Linked DNA regions of Mus musculus: regions 1, 2, 4, 5 and 6 are each reported to be linked to region 3. The links are microRNA targets in miRTarBase. Many come from high-throughput screens and were not tested one by one. Region 3 holds a microRNA gene; each other region holds the end of a gene's coding sequence.

The links. Region 3 holds the annotated microRNA mmu-miR-3059-5p (UUUCCUCUCUGCCCCAUAGGGU, at 1,110-1,131, opposite strand). A microRNA usually pairs through its seed, bases 2 to 8, with sites in the 3' UTR of a target mRNA and lowers its output. Matches are read on the target gene's strand: a 7mer-m8 pairs with bases 2 to 8, a 7mer-A1 pairs with bases 2 to 7 and ends in A, and an 8mer does both.
Region 1: miRTarBase lists Nat14 as a target of mmu-miR-3059-5p. Seed matches in the 3' UTR shown: 7mer-A1 at 2,475-2,481.
Region 2: the mRNA of Emx2 is a reported target of mmu-miR-3059-5p. Seed matches in the 3' UTR shown: 7mer-m8 at 2,625-2,631.
Region 4: miRTarBase lists Crx as a target of mmu-miR-3059-5p. Seed matches in the 3' UTR shown: 7mer-A1 at 1,906-1,912.
Region 5: miRTarBase lists 1810030O07Rik as a target of mmu-miR-3059-5p. Seed matches in the 3' UTR shown: 7mer-A1 at 2,725-2,731.
Region 6: the mRNA of Fzd1 is a reported target of mmu-miR-3059-5p. Seed matches in the 3' UTR shown: 7mer-m8 at 2,161-2,167.

What each region holds. Positions count from the first base shown.
Region 1 is chr7:4,923,979-4,927,279 of GRCm38, reverse strand. It overlaps Nat14 (N-acetyltransferase 14), which reads right to left. Exons shown (of 3, transcript NM_001358881.1): 3 at 2,274-3,301. The coding sequence ends at 2,829. Ssc5d (scavenger receptor cysteine rich family, 5 domains) reads right to left here and starts at 1,459. Exons shown (of 14, transcript NM_173008.3): 1 at 1,301-1,459; 2 at 764-790; 3 at 1-306. The coding sequence starts at 1,325.
Region 2 is chr19:59,463,681-59,466,981 of GRCm38, reverse strand. It overlaps Emx2 (empty spiracles homeobox 2), which reads right to left. Exons shown (of 3, transcript NM_010132.2): 3 at 1,625-3,102. The coding sequence ends at 2,935. Among named protein-coding and RNA genes, the nearest start is that of Emx2, 6.6 kb to the right of the region's middle.
Region 3 is chr10:101,770,534-101,773,834 of GRCm38, reverse strand. It overlaps Mir3059 (microRNA 3059), which reads right to left and starts at 1,143; the gene lies at 1,063-1,143. It also overlaps a transcript of Mgat4c not described here.
Region 4 is chr7:15,864,892-15,868,192 of GRCm38, forward strand. It overlaps Crx (cone-rod homeobox), which reads right to left. Exons shown (of 4, transcript NM_007770.4): 4 at 1,056-3,301. The coding sequence ends at 2,889. Among named protein-coding and RNA genes, the nearest start is that of Crx, 13 kb to the right of the region's middle.
Region 5 is chrX:12,655,040-12,658,340 of GRCm38, reverse strand. It overlaps 1810030O07Rik (RIKEN cDNA 1810030O07 gene), which reads left to right. Exons shown (of 7, transcript NM_175141.6): 6 at 317-479; 7 at 1,855-3,301. The coding sequence ends at 478. Among named protein-coding and RNA genes, the nearest start is that of Gm4984, 4.4 kb to the right of the region's middle.
Region 6 is chr5:4,752,780-4,756,080 of GRCm38, reverse strand. Fzd1 (frizzled class receptor 1) reads left to right here. Exons shown (of 1, transcript NM_021457.3): 1 at 1-2,242. The coding sequence ends at 429. Among named protein-coding and RNA genes, the nearest start is that of Fzd1, 3.8 kb to the left of the region's middle.

The sequences.
Region 1 (3,301 bases), not on the chromosome of region 3:
CACAGACGACGCCTGCGTCCTCCTCATGAGAGCAGATATGGGCCTTCCAGCCCCGGTGGGGACAGATACCCAGCTGACCCTCATTGCCCCGACAGTTCAGTTCACTGAGCCATACAGGCCCAGTGCCCTCCCCGAAGAAGGCACCCCCAGGGGCTGCCAGCGCCCCTCCGCAGCCTAACACACGGCAGGCCACTTCAGCATCCCGAAGGTCCCATCCGTCATCACACACGGTGCCCCAGCGCCCGCTGTGCCAGACCTCCAGGCGTCCTGCGCAGCCATGAGGACCATCAGCCAGGCGGAGTCGCTCTGAGGGATGAAGGAAAAGCTGTGACCCCACACAGGAGTACTGTTGGCTGGGGGTCTACGGTAACACCAAGGCAGGGGGACTACCTTACAAGCTACCACCAGGAAGCCAGCTACCCTGGAGGCTGGACCCTGGTCCCAGACTCCCAGGTGCAATGAGAGGAATGTCTCAGAGATGCTGGGGGCTGTGTGGAAGGACACTGTGAACCAGGGAATTCAGGCATCCCCGGTCCTTCTGCCCCACAAGGGGGTCAAATAACCTTTCCACTCCTCTCCCCATCACTGGCCTCATAACTTTGGTCCTCTCCCATAGGTCAGCGTGCAGCTAACTCTAGAGAAGACTCATTGTCCCTGTTGGATGGCAGCAATGTCTGGGGAGTGGAATTGGGGTAGCAGAGACCAGAAGGAGAGGGGGGGAGTTGGAGCGGGGTGAGGCCAAGTGTAGAATCAGGACACTTACCTATAGCCTGGATCCCCACCAGCATTGCTGCAAAGGAGGTTGGAGGGGACAGAGTGAAGGATAAATCAGAGGGGAGGGGTCCTTTCCCCAGTGCAGGCTCCCAGCCTCAGTACAGTGGGAAGCACCCATTCACAGTCAGATTCCTCACACCTCTGAGTCAGAAACCCCACTGCTGGAATGGACTTTGGGAGGAGGCTGGGATAAGTTACAGGTCCCTGGGGTGGGTGGGGCCCCAGATGCCTGACCCTTGAAAACAGGACTGGGGACCAGATTGAATGGTGGGAGTGATAGCGCTACAGAGTACATGACAGGGCAACAAAGGGCAGGTCACTTGAGCTGCTAGGCAGGACGTGCAGAAGGCTGGGTCCCTCAGGGATTAGAGGGGCCAGCCAGATGTCAGGATATCACACTGCACCAGGGACCAGAACAGGCTCCCTCAAGTATGAGCCCCTAAACTGGAGAAGCTAACTGGGTCAGAGGTAAGGGTCCAGGCCCCTAAGGTGCTTACCCCCCCCCCCAAGGAAATGGATCACTCACCAAGGAGGCAGGCCAAGCCCCTCATGTTCGCAGAGTCCAGGGGCAGGGGATGGGGTGAAAGGGGAAGGAGGGCAGGAGAGGGGAGGAGGAGGCAGCCAGGGAGGGAAGCAGCTGCTGAGGAGCCCTGGACAGCTAGGAGCAGGCTGGGCTGAAGGCTCTGCCAGGAGGGAGAGAGGCTGCAGGGATGCAGCAGGGGACAGGAGGGGGAGGGGGCTGGCCACAGCTGAGGCTGGAGGGGGGGGTGCGGGGGGCAGGCAGAAGGGAGGTGTTCAAGTGCAAACACCCACACTGGAGGGAGGCGGCCAGCCAGGCTCCAGAGGGCCACGTGCTCAGAGATGCTTATGGGGATGGCAGCTCTGGGAAGGGGCAGGCCTGGGTGTCTGGGGGACAGGGCTGAGGGCACACCCTTCTGCCTCCTCTTATTGTCCAGCCAGGCAAGTAAGTGCAGCTGGGAGTGGACAGATTTTGGGGAATCCTGCAGTAGCATGAGGGCCTGAAGCCAGATACTAGGAGGGACTTCCTAGATCAGGAAAAGAAACTGAAAAACTCCTGTCCATTTGTCACCCACTGTGGTAAATCTGGATGGGAAGCTCCCAGTGCCGATTCGAGAAAAGAGTGTCTGAACTTATTACCAGTTCCCAGAACAAAGGTATGGAGGGTAGAGAGACTGAGGGGTCAAGGCTTCGGTCTGGAGGGGGTACACACACACACACACACACACACACACACACACACACACCAGGCAGCTGTGAGGGGGAAAACTTTGGTAATGGGGAGCATGACTCAGAAGGCCTGGCAAAGACTGGCTGCCGCTGTGAGCTCACTGCTTCTCCTCTTCCCAGCGCCCCCCCCCCCCCCCCAACACACACACTTCCCTAGCAATTAATGTCAACTTCTTCGGAGAGGAGGAGCCAGACAGAAGGAGGGAGTCTGGAGAGAGCAGCTGGAAAATGCATCAGACAGGAGACAGGCACACAGAAGTTTCAGGGTTTATTAACAAACAGTGTAAAAAACCAGATGGGCTTGGAGACACTGTGCTCCTGGCCCCACCCACTCCCAGAAGATCTGTCCCCTTTGGGAGTTCCCTGTCACAGACTCTAACTTTTAGTCTCTCTCTCTCTCTCTCTCTCTCTCTCTCTCTCTCTCTCTCTCTCTCTCTCTCTCTCTCTCTCTCTTTCCTCAAATCTCCCTTCCAGACCTCAAACACAGGCAGCAGGGGCTTTGTAGACCCAGAACCCGACGTTTTTCAGTGCATACAGACTGGGGCAGTGGGGGTGAGGCAAAGGACTGGACACGGTGACCTCTAGTGGTCCCAGAAGACCAAGAAGGGATTTGTTCTACTTGAGTTTAGAGTCCTCATTGCAGCTGGCAGGCACACTGGGAATGTAAGTCCATCAACCTCGGTGCTTCACTATCAGCCCAGCAGACTAGGTAGACACTGAGGGGGGGATGTAAAGTGCCTGGCACACAGTAGGTGTTCTTTAGGTGCTGGTTCTCTGCCCATCTATCCAGTGGGCATGGTCTCTAATCACAGGTCTTTGCTGAATTCCCTAACCAGCATATAGCCCATGCAGCCCCAGCCTCCCTCTGCCTGGTAGCCACAGGCCTCCAATAACCCTGCCACCCCCCAAGCGGCTACAGCCACTGGGACCACGAGCCGGGCCCGAGGCTCCCCCATACTTCCAGCCCATGCTCGGGCTCGAGCCTCGGCAAAGGCCAGCAGCCTTCTGCCCACGCCCCTGCGACGGTGCCATCGAGAGACAGAGAGGCGGGTGACTCGGGCTCCATCCCCCACGTTGGCACCAGGGGCCAGAGCCAGGACTCCACACACATCGCCGGAGCCACGGACAGCCACCCAGGGCCCTCCCAGGCCGCCTGGTGGAGGCAGAGAGCCCCATCGGGCTCGCAAACCCAGCTTCACAGCGGCTACAGCCAGAAACACGGGCAGCAGGAGGGCCAGGGCGAAGGAGGCCAGGATGAAGCGCAGTCCGCTGCTGGCTG
Region 2 (3,301 bases), not on the chromosome of region 3:
AGCTAATAGTATTCTCTGATGATTTTATTGCTGTCACACTGCATAGGACATTTAGAAAAAAAACTCTTCACCACTCCCCTTTCTCGTACTTAAATTTAAGTTTATGGTTACTGCAGAAAGCTTTTTTCCAAGATGGTACTTTTTTAAATAAAAGGGTCAGTCTCAGTTGTAAGGAGACTATACTCTACTCTATATCCAAACCATTCCAGGTTTGGGAGGGTGGGATGCATGAAGAAAGTAACCTGCTCTTAGCAAAAGGGAGAACAGTCAGTGATGGACCATCCCACTGTGGAAGCAGCCCAAGCCCCACGCATCTTTGTGGAATTCCCGAGTTGCACCTGTCCCTGTGGAAGGCAAGCCCGGATCTTCCTGAAACCTCTCTACTACCGGTACCCACAATACAAACTCCAGAGGAACGGCCTTTGTGAGCTCAAAGTATGAGCAGCCAGGTCTGCCCAGGGACCAAGACCAAGGGGAGAAGGGTGATAAACAGAGATACAGGGGCAAGAAGAAAAAAAAAATAAGAGGGAGAGAAACAGAGAATGAATTCTCCTTTAGAGGAGGGGAGGAAAAACAGAAAGAAAAGATTCCATAGTGCCCTAAAGTCCCCACACGTGCACGGAATGTCTAATCTTAACTTTTCAAGGCAGGATGTTAACAAAGCTTGTATTTTTGCCCCTGCATTGTAACTTGGCCTTATCACAGTGTAAAGGGTGGGGGAGATTGTCCTAAATTATGTCCAGGCAGCCCCCCTGGATCCGTGGATTAAGAGATTAAAGGAGACCACTGGGCAAGGCCTCCTCTTTTCCCTTCATATTCCTGGTATGATAATTGCTTAAACTGATTTGCACTTTCACAAAAGCTCACAGGACGCTTTGTAGCTCGAACAGAACAGACGAGGTTTCTCTATCAATGGAAATAAAACTGATTAATGCAGCCTATCGGGATAGGAAGCAAATGAAGCATGCAAAAAACAACCTCATACCCTCGGCAGGGGGAGGACAGGGAAAGAGCGAAGTTTTCTTTGAGAATGGTTACAACTTTTACTTTAATGTTAAAATTAAGAGTGGAAGATCTCTCAGAATGCTTGCCTTATAAGGCTTCGGGGGCCTTTGGGTTCATCTCCCTCACTTTATGCAGATTAGAGTGAAAGAGAGAGGAAAGGAGAAAAGAAAAGAGAGAAGAGGAGGCTGACTTGTCCTGAAGGGGTTTGAAGTCAGAAATGAAGTTAGAAGCCCCAGACCTCGGGTTCTAAGAATATTCTCCAGGCCAAAACTAGGTTCTAAACTTTACAAAGAAAAGGAAATCAGAAGTAAAGTGAAGGGTTTTTTTTTGTTTTGTTTTGTTTGTTTGTTTGTTTTAGTTTTTTAGCCTGGAGTTGAAACTAAAATCCTTCAGCAAAGTTGCTTGGACAGCTTCTCTCCTCTTCCTCTTCTGAAAGAGTTTGGCTGTCTTAAGCATCTCCCTTCACATCTCTTTAAAATACAAGCCCTCAAAAGCCACCAGTCTGGCTCTTTTGTGGGCGGGGAGTCAGGGTCTCTGGAGCCTAGCTGGAGAAGGCCCACATTCGAATTAAAGAGTTACTTTTGTAAAGATCCACTTCAGTTTCCCAAGACAACTACTCTGAGGGCATATTGATAAATCTTTATTGACAAAATATTGACATTGACATACTTCTTGGAAGTATATAGTGTGTTAGAATTCTAACAAATTAACACAAAACACAAAAATATTTACAATCTGGTATAGAAGACACTAAGGAAGCATTTGTAACCCTCTTTAGTAAGTCTATGGTCTTGGAAGAGAAACTCAGTGCTTGAAAACTCCCATGTCCTTGGCCACGCCACCATCACCCCATTAAATACAGTCCTTCCTTCCACTTTTGCAATAGACAGACTTAAAAGTTCTGAATGGCCATTATGATGAGTGGCTGGATGCAGTCAATCTCTCCAACCACTAAAAGGAAAAGTTGACTTGGTGATTTAAAGTATCAGAATGTTAGGAAAGGAAATATCCAAGAAATAGAATTAATTTGGGTCTTTTATCGTGGGTTGTTTTTACCCCTAGCATGAGTCCTGATTCTTCTCAGGGGCACCCTCCCCCGCCCTCCATCCCAGTCCTGCTCCCTCATTTCTCTGTCAGAGGACCACTATCTCCGAGCCTACTTCGTTTAGCTTTCACAATCACTTTGACAATAGAAGGTATCAAAAAAGTGTTTTTACAGACTGAACATTTCTCAGAAAAAAAATAAAAAATAAAAATACACAGAACCTGTCTTTAAAAGAGGAATAAAATTACAATTCAGTTTTTAGACACCATTCGCCCGACAACTGCTACATGCAATTCAAGTTTTGAAACAGGTGTAGGATGGGGCTAGACATGGAATTTTGTATGTTATTTCTAATTAAAGATGAGGGGGAAACACTGTGAAGTGCAAAATTAAAAGTCCTGTGCCTTTTTTTTTCCAAAAAAAAAAATCATTATCATTTCTAAATGGACTTCGATAAGCGGAATACCCGCCAATCATCTTGTTTCCCTGGTTTGGCATTTGACTGACAGCTCCCCTTGTCAGAATGTGCCTTTGCCTCACAAGGATCATTCATTCTCTCTCTCTCTCTCTCTCATTCCTCTCTCTCCCTCCCAGTCTCTGTCTCTCTCACTCACTCAGCTGCCTCTTTAGACGAGGGTTGCATGTTGATGATCGGGCCTCCGTCCTCTGCTGTCCTGTAAGCGGTGCCCGGCCCGGCGCCGGTTCCCGGTCCAGTGCCCTCGCTGTCCAAAGTCTGCTGCGAGCGTCACTGCTCTGATTCCCTCTCTCCCTTTCTCGGTGGATGTGTGTGCAGTTTGTTTTTGTTTTGTAGGGTTTTTCTTCCCCTCCTCTCCCTGTCTTTCTTGCTCTGTGCTGTCCATTTTTGTAGGATTGGGTTTGGACTTTTAATCGTCTGAGGTCACATCTATTTCCTCCGGACTCGCCTGCTTGGTAGCAATTCTCCACCGGTTAATGTGGTGTGTCCCTTTTTTCTTCTGTTGAGAATCTGAGCCTTCTTCCTCTAGCTTTTGCCTTTTGAATTTCGTTCTCCGGTTCTGAAACCATACTTTTACCTGTGGGGAGAGACAAGTGGGCATCTTTAGATCCTTCTTAGTGCCTTCCTATCATATACCAGAGGCCTGTCACAGCCCAGGGCTGACCCCAGACCCCCAGACATACATCCTTAGGGCTGACCACTTTCTTCTCCTTCCCTCTGAGAGCAAGCCCCCTCTAGAGAAGCCTTGTTCCTGTCTTTCCAAACCCTACCAAGGA
Region 3 (3,301 bases):
ATACACAGCCTACCTATTTAGTGCTTCAAGAAGAAACAGAATCTGTTCCAATCTCTTCCAGTCATTCTCTCATAGCACACCTCAATTCTTCTAAATCTCTGTTATGAAATCCAGTAGTTTCAAAGACAAAAGTCAGCACCGATGATTGGAAACTGAAATGAGTACCCAACAGTCATCAAACTGATGTGAAAATAAGAGAGAGTGAGATATCCTTGGGTTATGGTTTATTACTTTAAGGTGACTTGTTTATGAAAATAAAAGCATTCCTAACCCAAAAGTCAGACTGATAAACCTATAAATATTTATGAAGAAGTAACTTTGTGCCGATTGTGAGAATCTGTATTAAAATCTCTCACCCGCACACACGTATCACTAAGCTTTAGGTAGATAGTAATTTCATCTGAATTAAAATATTCTTTTTTTAGACAGTAATAGGCTCAGGAAGACAGAGAAACTTGCGCAGCTGTGAATGATCAGAAAGTTTCAAGATTCATAACATCTCTTCCTCAATATCAGAAAGACACAGTAAATTTGCTGAGGCAAAATGTTTCTCTGCAGTATAGCTCTAAGCAAGCTCTACACGGAACTTCCTGGAATGAGAAGTTCATAAGTTCTCACCCATGCTAGTGTGAACGTTTCAGAAATGTTGTTGACTTTGAGTCATCGAAGCCCCTGTATACAACCACAATGAACTCATTCGGTCACTAAGGTAGACTTGGATATAAGGATCTTTACCTGTCTGTCAAGTACTCTACTGGTTAAGAGACATTTGTTCATGTCTTCTCAGTGAAAGTTGCCAAATACTAAGGAGTAAAGCTATGTCAGGGACATCATATTTGAAACCATTACAACCAAACATGAACATTTTAAAATCAAGTTTACAAAAAATAAAGACTTGAATTTGAATATTAATTGTTTTGGCACCTTGAATTAGATTTTGCAATTGGACTGTAGTGAGGAAGATGGACCATTATACAGCATGTTCTGCATATGTTAATCTTAGCACACCCAGACAGTGAAAAGAATGTGTTTGCAGATAATTACTGAGTTGTAGAAATAGTAAGGCTGTTCACCCAACCTTCTCTTCCCTAGAGGGTAGTTAGAGCTACACCCTATGGGGCAGAGAGGAAAGGGCGTACCACCTGTGATACACCTGTGTAAAATTAAAACAGAAAATTAAAAGCTCCTGTTATCAATAGAAATACATTTAAAGTTTAAAGAGTAACATTGGAAGTCAAGAGTAAGCAAAATGGGGGCGATTGGGGGGGGATCAGGCACATAAAATAGTTGGCATCTGGAAGAAATGTTTCCAATTTTTATGCAATAAAAGGATTCTAGAGGAATAAAAGCAGATTTTATCCAAATGAAGCTCTAAATTAGGAAGACAGCCACATGCTTCTATGAATATAAGTTCCAATTTGAATTTATTCTTCTGATTTTGGAGCCTAAATTATACAATACAGTAGACATAATATAATGTCCAATATAATTGAGCATTTCTTGTAAATTCAAGAAGAATTTGGGAATTTCAGAAACAACTTCTATTAGGTACTCAAATGTGCCAAAACATTGTATTGACACAGGGTGTAGTTAATACCTAAAATAACTTTCTATTTTAAAATGTTGGTAAAATCTGTATGGATGGATTAGTAACCCTGCCTAAATGAAAATATGTCATTTTCTATTAAATTACAAATATATAAACTGAAAACCTCATTTGAGGAACAGCTTTGTGTTCAAATTGTTGTATCAAATAATTCTATATTCTTATTTGAATCAATTAGAGTTTCCTTCAGCTCTTTTTAAAATTTTATTTTTTTCTTTGTTTGTTTACACTCCAGATTTTATTCCCCTCCTGGTCCACCCTCTGACTGTCTCCCATCCTATTTCTCCTCCCCACCCATTGTCTCCATCAGTATGTTACCACCATCCCACCCCATAATTCCTATAAACTCTCTGGGACCTCCAGTCTTTTGAGGGTTATGTGCATCTTCTCTAGCTGAACCCAGACCAGGCAGTCCTCTGCTGTATATGGGTTGGGAGGGCCTCATCTCAACCGATATATGCTGGTACATGCTGTCTGGTTGGTGATCCAGTGTCTGAGAGATTTCAGGGGTCTAGGTTAATTGAGACTTCTAGTCCTCCTATAGGGTCGCCCACCTCCTTCAGCTTTAGCAAAAATAAATAAACTCAAAACTTAAACTAACAATTTGATGATTTATTTTTAATGAAGCTGACTATAAGATCTCTCTATTACTCTAGAAGGATATAGCATTACTTCTGACTTGGCTTTTCTGCTAGCTTTTGTAGGGACTTATATTAAGGTTTATATTTCAAGCAGACTTCATATATTTTCTCTGCTTCTAAGAATCTGACACTTAATTTTCCAGAAGGCATAATCAACACACTGTAATTCTTTTTAGCACTTGCCAGTTCTCTGGGATTTGATATGCCTGTTCAAGCTGGCTCTGACTCTCTGACACTCGTCGACATCTGAATAGAAATGCCAAACGTCCCCTCCTAAGTCGTGGTAATGCTGCTGCTCTCTGGTCAGTCTGATATACATCCAGATCAACATGGCCAAGTTTTCTATTAAAGGATGGGTGTTCTCCTCAGTGCTATTTCTTCCTAAAAGGCTATACCTAGAACACCAATGAATAACTTACAGTTTATTTAAGAAATTATATATATGTATATATGTGACCATTGATTATCTACATCATTAATCTCAATTAATTGTATAAAGATGAATAACTATTATGCTAGGTATTTTCAGTGTGCCCTTAAAAAGTGATGGCTATGTCTCCTTATTAGTCCATTTCATTGGACTTTGTATTAGATCCAAATGTAGTCATTTAAAAGTGTTACATAACTCATGTGTCACCTGATCTATTTAAAGCTTCCTGCCAGGAAACTGTGCTCTCTTTGGAATTATGCCCTCCATTTCCATGACATGGCCAACTTGCAGTGAATTGGCAAAGACAAAGTGTTAGAAGTGAATGAAATGCTGGGTTCGGCACCAGGAATTAGACTAACTGATTTTAAATGTGTGTCTCAACACTCTTTATGTCATCTTGGGAATGCCTCTAATATACTCAAAGCAAGGTTTCAATGGAGATTTAATGAACTAATGTCTGTAAAAATCTTTTTAAAGCTTGATTTATAGTCGTAATCATTTCAAATTTAAACTATTTTTTCTCAATGTTGGTAGAAATGCTGCTGAACTATAAGTTTAGTTTTCTTAAATTGTCTTAAAACTTTTTGGACAGTGCAGTTCATTCGTGGATGTTAAGTGTTTCTG
Region 4 (3,301 bases), not on the chromosome of region 3:
GGCATTGCTGTGATGATGCCTACAGTTAGAACTGACTTATATTCTTTTTGTTCTATGAGGAACTGAACCTAGGGCCTTCAATATTCTAGACAAGTACTGTATCACTGAGCCACACCCCCAGACCCTCACTGGGAGATTCTAGGCAGGGACTCTACCACTGAGCCACACCCTCAGCCCCTCACTGGGAGATTCTAGGCAGGTGTTGTATCCTGACCTACACTCTTTTAAAACATATCTGTGTATGGAATGGATCCCCCGGTGGGGCAGTCAACCACCAAACCCAGACACTATTGCATATACCAGCAAGATTTTGCTGACAGGACCCTGATATAGCTATCTCTTGTGAGTCTATGCCAGTGCCTGGCAAATACAGAAGTGGATGCTCACAATCATCTATTGGATGGAACACAGGGCCCCCAATGGAGGAGCTAGAGAAAGTATCCAAGGAGCTAAAGGGGTCGGCAACCCTATGGGAGGATCAACAAGATGAACTAACCAGTATCCCCACAAAACTGTGTCTCTAGTTGCATATGTACCAGAGGATGGCCTAGTCATCCTCAATGGGAGGAGAGGCCCTTGGTATTGCGAAGATCATATGCCCCAGTACAGGGGAATGCCAGGGCCATGAAGCGGGAGTGGGTGAGTTGGGGAGCAGGGTTGGGGGGAGGGTATAGGGGACTTTTGGGATAGCATTTGAAATGTAAATGAAGAAAATATCTAATAAAAATGAAAAAAAAGAAAGAAAAAATAAAAATTTTTAAAAAGTATCTGTGATTAAGTTTCCTAGGCAGATCTTAAACTTGAGATCCTCCTCCTCAGCTCCCAGGCTGGGATCCCAGGCCTTCTCTAGCTGCCCTGGTCCTGTGTTCCCCCTTAGCTGACTTTTAGAAGATACGGAGAAAAGCATTGCCAAACAGAAAATATCCAGGAGCACACTATGGGCAGAAAGGACAAAGCAAATCTTAATTTCTTTCTACCTAAACAAGTTTGCCCCTCACCCCAAAAAAAAAAAAAAAATCACACAGAAACAAAGAGGAAAAAAAAACACCCAGATGTAAGTGGGATCCACATTTTTAATCAGTTTCACTCTGGGTAGCCAGGGAAGGGAGACCTGATAGGCTAGTAAGAAGGAAAGAAGAGAACAGAGAAGCTAACATTAAATGAGGGGAACTCCTGACCTCCTCATTCTATGTCCATCTGCCTTATCAGCCTTGTGGCTTGGAAAGAAGGATTTGCAGGGGTGGGAGTGCAACAGGGTTTTATGTAGCCCAGGCTGGCCTCAAACTTGCATTGTAGCCTAGAATGACCTTGAACTCATTGTCCTTCTGCCTCTACCTCCCTCGTGTTGAAATCACAAGCATGTGCCATCACTCCTGGTTTATGAAATAGAATATGTCCATGGACTGGAGAGATGACTCAGCAATTAAGAACATTGACTGCTCTTCCAGAAGTCCTAGGTTCAATTTCCAGTAACTATGTGGTGGCTCACAACTATCTGTAATGAGATCCATGCCCTTTCCTGGTGTGTCTGGAGATAGCTAATGTGTACTCATATAAAATCTTTTTTAAAAAGAATATTGGGTGTACTGGCTGGTTTTGATAACACAAGCTAGAGTTATCACAGAGAAAGGAGCTTCAGTTGAGGAAATGCCTCCATGAGATCCGGCTATAAGGCATTTTCTCAATTAGTGATCAAGACGGGAGGGCCCCTTGTGGGTGGTGCCATCCCTGGGCTGGTAGTCTTGGGTTCTATAAGCAAACTGAGCAAGTCAGAGGAAGCAAGCCAGTAAGTAACATCCCTCCATGGCCTCTACATCAGCTCCTGCTTCCTGACCTGCTTGAGTTCCAGTTCTGCCTTCCTTTGGTGATGACCAACATTGTAAAAAGTATAAGCTAAATAAACCCTTTCCTCCCCAACTCGCTTCTTGATCATGATGTTTGTGCAGGAATAGAAAGGCATTGGACTAAGACTAACTAAGACATTAGACATACTCTATGGATTTCTAAAAGTCCTTTACCCAGGTATACCCATGAATAAGACTTCCAGCCTCTTGAGATTCAACTCCTATAGGCATCTGGAAGACTTCATCACTTGTGCCCCCTCAATCTAACCCTAGGAACCTCTGACGGGGGCATCTTGGGCTCTAGAACATTCTATTTATCTTTCAAGTCCTCCCCAATATCCACATCAAGCTTCTTTTGCATTTTGTTTTTATACAAGCCACAGCATCCCAGCTCAGTTTAGTGGTCATGTCTGTAACACACAGACAGACACATAAATCATATATACATTTAAATCATATATACATGTTCAAATGAATGATCCCCTAAACCTACCATGTAAACCTGATGTTTATTAACTTTAACTGTATACGTTTTCCAAATGAATTTGGAGGTCTCACTTTGTAGTCCAGGCTGGCCTCAAGTTCCCAGCAATCCTCCTGCCTCATCTTCTTTCATGCTGGGATTATGACCATTGAGTCAGTCAACACACCTGGCTCAGGGCACCCGGAGTTCTAAGCCAAACATTCTCCAAGTCATTTGCAAGACAGATTTCCTTTTTCTCCAGAGCAAGTTCTCAGCACCTTTACGGAAGACTGGGGAAAAGCATCAGATATGCACATCAGTCATGACCTGTACTGACTGCTGCTGGGCTGTCTTGAGAGAGGAAGGAGCCACTTTCATTGCTTGGGGTATGCTGTAAAGGGGCTAAGCTCTCTAAAGGAGCTGAGGGTAGGAAACACCTGAGGCTGAATGGTTCACAGCCTTTGGCAGGATTGCTACTTGCTGTTGCTTGCTGAGAGCTACTCTCCTGGAATCTAAGCTGGAGGAGACAGCTTGAGTCCAGAAAGAGTGATTCCGCTGGAAGGGGGGATATGAAGCCCCTTCTACAAGATCTGAAACTTCCAGGCACTCTGATCTTTGTAGTCCAGAGGGTCCATGGGATTGTAGGTAAATTTCCAGGTGCCTGTGGGGTCCTTGAATTCCAGGCTGTCCACAGGACTGTAGGTGCTATAGCTCTGGCCTGACAAGGAGGTGGGGGACTGGGCCAGGGATGGCCCCACAGAGGGGCCTGAGAGGGGGCTGAGAGCCGGACCCCCAAGTTGGGGCACCATGGGCGAAAGGTAGGGATCCAACCCACTGAAATAGGAACTTGGAGATGCATAAGCTGAAGGGGAAGAACAGAAAGCAGAAGCCGGGGCATAGGTCATGGCATAAGGGGCTGAGGTGAGAGAGGGCCCAGAAGCCACTAGGCCGGCTCTCTGGGCCTCAGGCAAAGGAGCCTCTGAGGCTGGACTCC
Region 5 (3,301 bases), not on the chromosome of region 3:
TGTGTGTGTGTGTGTGTGTGTGTGTGTGTGTGTGTGCTTGGTTCAGTATTTCTTCACAATGCCATCCACTCAACCTCTGTGTAGATGCTTGCCAGTAGTCCGCATTTCTGTCTTGTAGTAGGCATATAAACAGAACAGGTGGTTTAGGGCAAGAGTGAAGCTGGAAGGCAGTACCTTGCACATGCCAAGTGTGCTCCTGCTGCCGAGCTTCTCCTGCAGCCCTGGGAACCAATCTTGAGATTACACTGTTCCATTTTAATTGAATTCTGTTACAGTAATTATCCTAAGCAGCATTTTGTACACTTTCCTCTTACAGATCTCAAATCAACTGGATGTGGTGAAAGGTTTTCTGGGAAGCAACACAGATCTTAGAAACGGCCTTACAGAAGACTTGCAGAAGCTAGAGAGCCTCCATCTACAGCATCAAAAACAAACTTCAAAGGATGCCGGTAGACAGACACCTGAAAGGAAGGCTTGAGGTGAGTGTAGGTACTGAATGTTAAAGAGGGACACAATAGCCTTATCCCTTTGATGTCTGACTTCTCATATGAACCAACAGTCTCACTTGCTCTTCGCTGTGCCCTTACTATTAGAAAGGAAGGTTGGGAATGGTGATGTATAGCTTTAATCTCAGCATATGGGGAGCAGAGACAGGTTGATCTCTGTAAGTTCAAGGCCAGTCTGGTCTACAAAGTGAGATCCAGGCTAGCCAAGACTATACATACATAGTGAGCCTGTCTTAAAACAAACAAACATAGAAACCTTTTCAAAAGCAGGCCAAGTGCCTGTTCTGTCATTAGTGGCTCACAGACCTGTGAAAGCTCAACATTCTGGAGCAAGGTCAGCCACATAACCCTGAAGGCAAGGTCTGGTGTTAGCTGAGCCACTATATCATTTGTGACATGGTCTAAAACCATTCTGCTTTCAGATGATGCCCGGGATACCCAGTTTTCACTGTAGCATTAATTGTGCTTGGCTAGTGTCCATTAGAAAGCTGATTAATGTAAATATCTCTACTGTTCTTCTCCCAAATAATAATGAAAATACGGTCTTATTTTACATTGTCCTTCGCAACATCCAGGCTTGTTTTGTGAAAGTTGGCCTGGCTTCCAGGTCAGGCCTCCTTCTCTGTGCAGAGAGGAAACATTTCTAAAGCACACAAGTTTCTGTTGTGTGCCTTTCTATAATGCATCAGAGATACTTTTTTCATATTCATCAACTTGGAATTATGTGATGTGCCAGGAATGGTGCGGGAAGTAAGTGTCCAAATAAAAATGTTTAACTTTGTTTTTACTTATGATAAAGGAAAGAGGAAAGTGGTCGTTTTCTACCATTTCCTCTTGAGTGTGGAACTGTTACTGTGGGCTCGAAGCCAGAGACAGAAGTGAAGCAAGAAGGTTTATGCCTGTGACCTCAACTACTCCAAAAGCTGGGCTAGGAGGATCCCAAGTTCTAGGCCAGCCAGGGCAACTTCGGGAGCCCCTATTTCAAAATGAAAACAAATCGTAAGGAGGTGGATGTGAGGCAGTTATACAACATTTTCTTCCTCTGCCCGACCCTGGTGTCAGTTCTCAGCTCGCTGTCCCCAAAGACGGAGCAAAGCACGCACACTTGCAGCATCTCCTGAGTACTGCAGCTCAGGCTCTGGGACTGTGTGGTTCTGGAAATGCTAGGAAAGTGCTTGGAAACTTCATTCTTAGCAGTAGTCAAACAAAACTTTCTCTTTCACCGTGCTCATAAATTCATTCCCAGCTCTGCTCTTCTTGAACTGTGTGGAAGCCTTGTACTATTGTGTGCAGTGTTCTGTGGGAGTCAGACTCACTTCCATTTCTTCCTCGGTCTGCTCATTCCCAGGGTCTTTGCCATTAGACTGCTTCATGTCACCTCTGGACGTTACTATGTTCCCCGAACTACCTAGAAGAAACGCTCCATGCCAAGGCTCGGCAAAGATGAAGTCACTCCCTCACCTGGCCAGCTGCCTGCCCAACAGGGATCCTCCAGAGAGGGGGTAGCAATAGAAACTGGATTTGGCATGTATTTCAACTTTATAACCCAAATGAATACAAATGTGCTTTCAGCTTGCTTATTTAATCTTCCAGGTTGCTGTTTAGTTTTCAGTGTTATGGTTTCTTTCTCCCTTCATTTGTGAAAGTCCTTGAGAAGACTTCAAGCAAAGCAAGATTTTGCATTTATTTTGCCACTTTGCCATAGGAAAAAAAATCAATTCCCTTCTAGATCTGAAGTACAAAACATAGAATGTTGATGCACTAACCCACAAAGACCTGGTTTCTAACTGTAGGAAGTTTGAGATCCTAACCTTTCATTTTATTCTTGTCTAGTTATTTTGTCCTTATCAATTCAACACACACCAAGTGTCAAACCTGTGCCAGACATTGAAACGAGTGGTGAAATCCAGTCTTACTACCTTCATCTGCCACTCGGACAGTTCAGAGGTTCTGTTCAGAGAACTATACCAGTAACATTACAGTGAATTGAAACAGAAAAGGCAAGACCCTTGTATAAAGGGCTCGAAGACAGATGTGCTGAATACAGAGGTAGCGGCCTGTCCCACGTCTCTTCCACAGAACTGTGCCTGGGTATGTCCGAATGGATGTTCACAAGTTGAGGACCTACTAAATAAGTTGTAGAACATCTGTACTATGCCACCTGTCTTAGTAAGGGTTCTATTCCTGCACAAACATCGTGACCAAGAAGCAAGTTGGGGAGGAAAGGGTTTATTCAGCTTACACTTCCATACTGCTGTTCATCACCAAAGGAAGTCAGGACTGAACTCACACAGGTCAGGAAGCAGGAGCTGATGCAGAGGCCATTGAGAGATCTTCCTTACTGGCTTGCTTTCCACTGGCTTGCTCAGCCTGCTCTCTTATAGAACCCAAGACTACCAGCCCAGAGATGGCACCACCCACAATGGACCCTCCACCCTTGACCACTAATTGAGAAAATGCCTTACAGCTGGATCTCGTGGAGGCATTTCCCCAACTGAAGCTCCCTTCTCAGTGATAACTGCAGCTGTGTCAACTGACACACAAATCCAGCCAGTCCACCACATAACTATTCTAAAGAATGACCCCATAATGAAGTGCAGTCATGGGAATTACCTGTAAGGCATCTAAAGGAAAGAAACGGTTTGAAGGGTGGACTGGAGCTCCGTGGTGGGGCGCTTGCCTACCCAGCATGTGTAATACCTTGACTAGATGGCTGTTCCACTGCCAAAAGCAAATCAATAGAAAAACAAAGTATTGAATAATGATGAGCATGCTATAGTGCTGTTTGTGTGCTA
Region 6 (3,301 bases), not on the chromosome of region 3:
CTGCTGGCCGGTTTCGTGTCACTCTTCCGCATCCGCACCATCATGAAGCATGACGGCACCAAGACAGAGAAGCTGGAGAAGCTCATGGTGCGCATCGGAGTCTTCAGTGTCCTCTACACTGTGCCGGCCACCATCGTCATCGCCTGCTACTTCTATGAACAGGCCTTTCGGGACCAGTGGGAGCGCAGCTGGGTGGCCCAGAGCTGCAAGAGTTATGCCATCCCTTGCCCTCACCTCCAGGGAGGTGGAGGAGTCCCACCACACCCGCCCATGAGCCCAGACTTTACAGTCTTCATGATCAAGTATCTCATGACGCTGATTGTGGGCATCACATCGGGCTTCTGGATCTGGTCCGGCAAGACACTGAATTCCTGGAGGAAGTTCTACACGAGGCTTACCAACAGCAAACAGGGGGAGACTACCGTCTGAAACCCAGACTCTTACCTTACCCTTTTTTGGCCTGATCCTAGCCATCGCCTGGAAGCTGGCCCCAAGGAATTCCTGCCAAGCCTGGCCACTCCAGGCTTCCTCGCCAGCCACTGACTTTTGCAGGCCCCTTTCCCAACAAACAGCACAGGTTCTGCAAAAGCTTCCGTCCCTGGGGTAAAGGAACGAGAGGGCCCAACTGATCGAGGTGTATGTGTATGTGCGTGTGGACCGATCTCTCTAGCCCTCTCTGATACCAGGATTGTACGCTTTTATGATTGTAAATAGCCTGTGTAAGATTTTTGTACGTATATTTGTATTTAAAGACTATCGAACACGCAGTTTTTTTTTCTTTTTAAAAATGTTTAATTATTTAGGGCAATTTACGTATTTGGAGCTTTTCTCACTTGCCCTTTTCTGCAGATTGCAGAGGAGGTAAAACAGAGCACACTTGACTAAGTGCTTTGCCCTGTGCCCTCATCTTTGTCAAGGGAGCATGGGCCTGCCTCTCCAGGGTCATTTCCTTCAGCATCTCCCGCCCCTCCCCTTCCTTGCTTGCAGTGGGAAATTTTAAGGTGCAGAACTCTGTAAAGCTTCCAGATCCCGAGGTGGGCCCCGCCCATTCCAGATCCTCCCCTTTTCAGCGGTAGAGTGTGGATGGCTGTCCCTGTGACTTCCTGATGCTGCTTATTTGAGATCCACCTTCCAGCTTTATTAGAGGACCCCAGTATGGGCTCTGCCAGTTGACCCAGCCTCCCTGTACCCCGGTGTCCCTTGCCCAGTGTCTTTCTCCTTGCACCTAAGTTGTTCAGAGGGAGTGCAGTAACCGACCGATAGCGAACTTTGGAGAGTCTGACTTTTTATGGATGAGCTCATTTTTACTCTCTAGTATCTGGAACTTGCTCTGGGTCTGGTCATCATCATGGAAAGAGCAGCAAGCTTTGTGGGTTGGGAGAGGCTAAAGAGAGAGGTTATAAAACATTAGTTCTAATTGCATTCTGATGTCTGGCAACCTACTTTCTTCCCCCTGTGATGCTGCCTGCTTCTAGATTTTACCCTTCTATGAAATGCAGACCTCGAGGTTGCCTGGGAAGCTTGGTGAAGGAATGGTTTACCTTCCTTAACAGGATAGTAGAACATACACAGAGTATGGAAACCTAAGGAGATTTCAGTGAAGTGGAGTTACTCCAAGTGAAACGCTGTTTTCTGGTTTTAGCCAAACTGCAATTAGATGTGTCTTTGCAATCTAAAAGTTGTACACAATCAACAATACACTTTGCTTACTCCTCAGCAGCACATTCTGAGGGAGAAACAGTCACACCCCCGCAGAAAGCCTGGTTGGACTTCCGAAGACAGAGGCGGTGGACTGACGGATGGGTGAGAGAGACAAACACGACCTAGGCATGCATGCTGAAGGGGAAGTGTGTCCATTCCTACTGCATCCCATCTTGTGTGCTCCTGTCTGGATTTACGGCAGTGTGTCAAATGTAAATCTCTCAAAGCCATTTAAAAATACTCACTTTAGTTATGGATGAAGAAGAGGAGAAAAGCAGTCCTCCTGATTGTAGTGTTTAAACCTTAAGAGTTTATCACAAATGCCGATACATACATAGGACCTAAATTTATCTATGTCTGTCATACCCTAAAATGACATTGGTTTTTGGATTTGGTATGCATTATTATTGTTATTATTGTTATTATTATTCTCACCACCATGAGATCATCTATATTTATAGAGGAATAGAAGTTTATATATATAAAATGCCATATTTTTAATTTCGCAAATAAAAAAATGAAAGTTTTGTACAAAATTACATTTTTCTGTGTGTGCCTGAAAACAATCGTCCTATCTGAACTGCCTTTACATTTTACAATGCCTCACAACCAGTCCACAATATACAAAGCTAAAAGATTCAATGGAAAAATCCACCCTTGCAAAGTGCAACCAGCCTGCCTTCTGAATGGCATGTGTAGAGTCCCATGCCAAGGCTGTTTTCATGGTAGCAGAAAATAGAATATTTTCAAACAATATTATTTTTAAAGTCTAACTCTAATTTTAACACTGAGGCTTTTTTCTTTCTTTCAGGGAATACATTTACATGACTTTTATTTGACAGAGGTTTATCTTTCAGTTGGGTGCCTTTGTGATGTTCTATGAGGTATTGTCTTGTTTTTTTCCATTACCGTGCACATCCGAAAACCCATAAACAGGCAATCAGTATGTGGTCACGGACTCTGTTTATAAGCATCTAAGATGGCAGTAGGCTGTGGAAGCGTTTTGTTGTTGTTGTTTACTTCTGAAGATTCCATCTGTATTGTTCAGAGAACCTTTCACAGAGGAATTTCCTATGTGACCTCAGAATTGATATGCGTGCATGTACATATACCTGTACACATGCATGTGACTATATATACAGCAAAATAGAAATAACAATTTACATTTTATAATATGGGAATAATATGAGAAATAGAACCCTATTAGAAAACTTCAAATATCTGGAGATTTAAAATATTTTTATTATATTTTTCATTACTTTCTAAAATCAAAAGACAAAGGGCTAAAGAGAATCCATTAATGCACCAGAGTGGCTTTTATGGTTATCAGGAAATTGTGTTATAAGTCTTAATTCATTTAAGATATTAAACATTTTAATTTAATGGAAAATACACATTTAAAGTTGGAAGAAACAATTTTTGGTTGTTACATTAATAGAAAAGATGGCATTTGAGAAGCTTTTATATAGAGATAGACATGAAAAAAAAACAGTAATTCTTTAACCAAATGAGAACATGTCTCATTAGGTAATTATGTAACTTGTGGGAGAAATATTTATGACAATTAATTAGTTTCTGTTCCAGGAATAAATGTAAACAA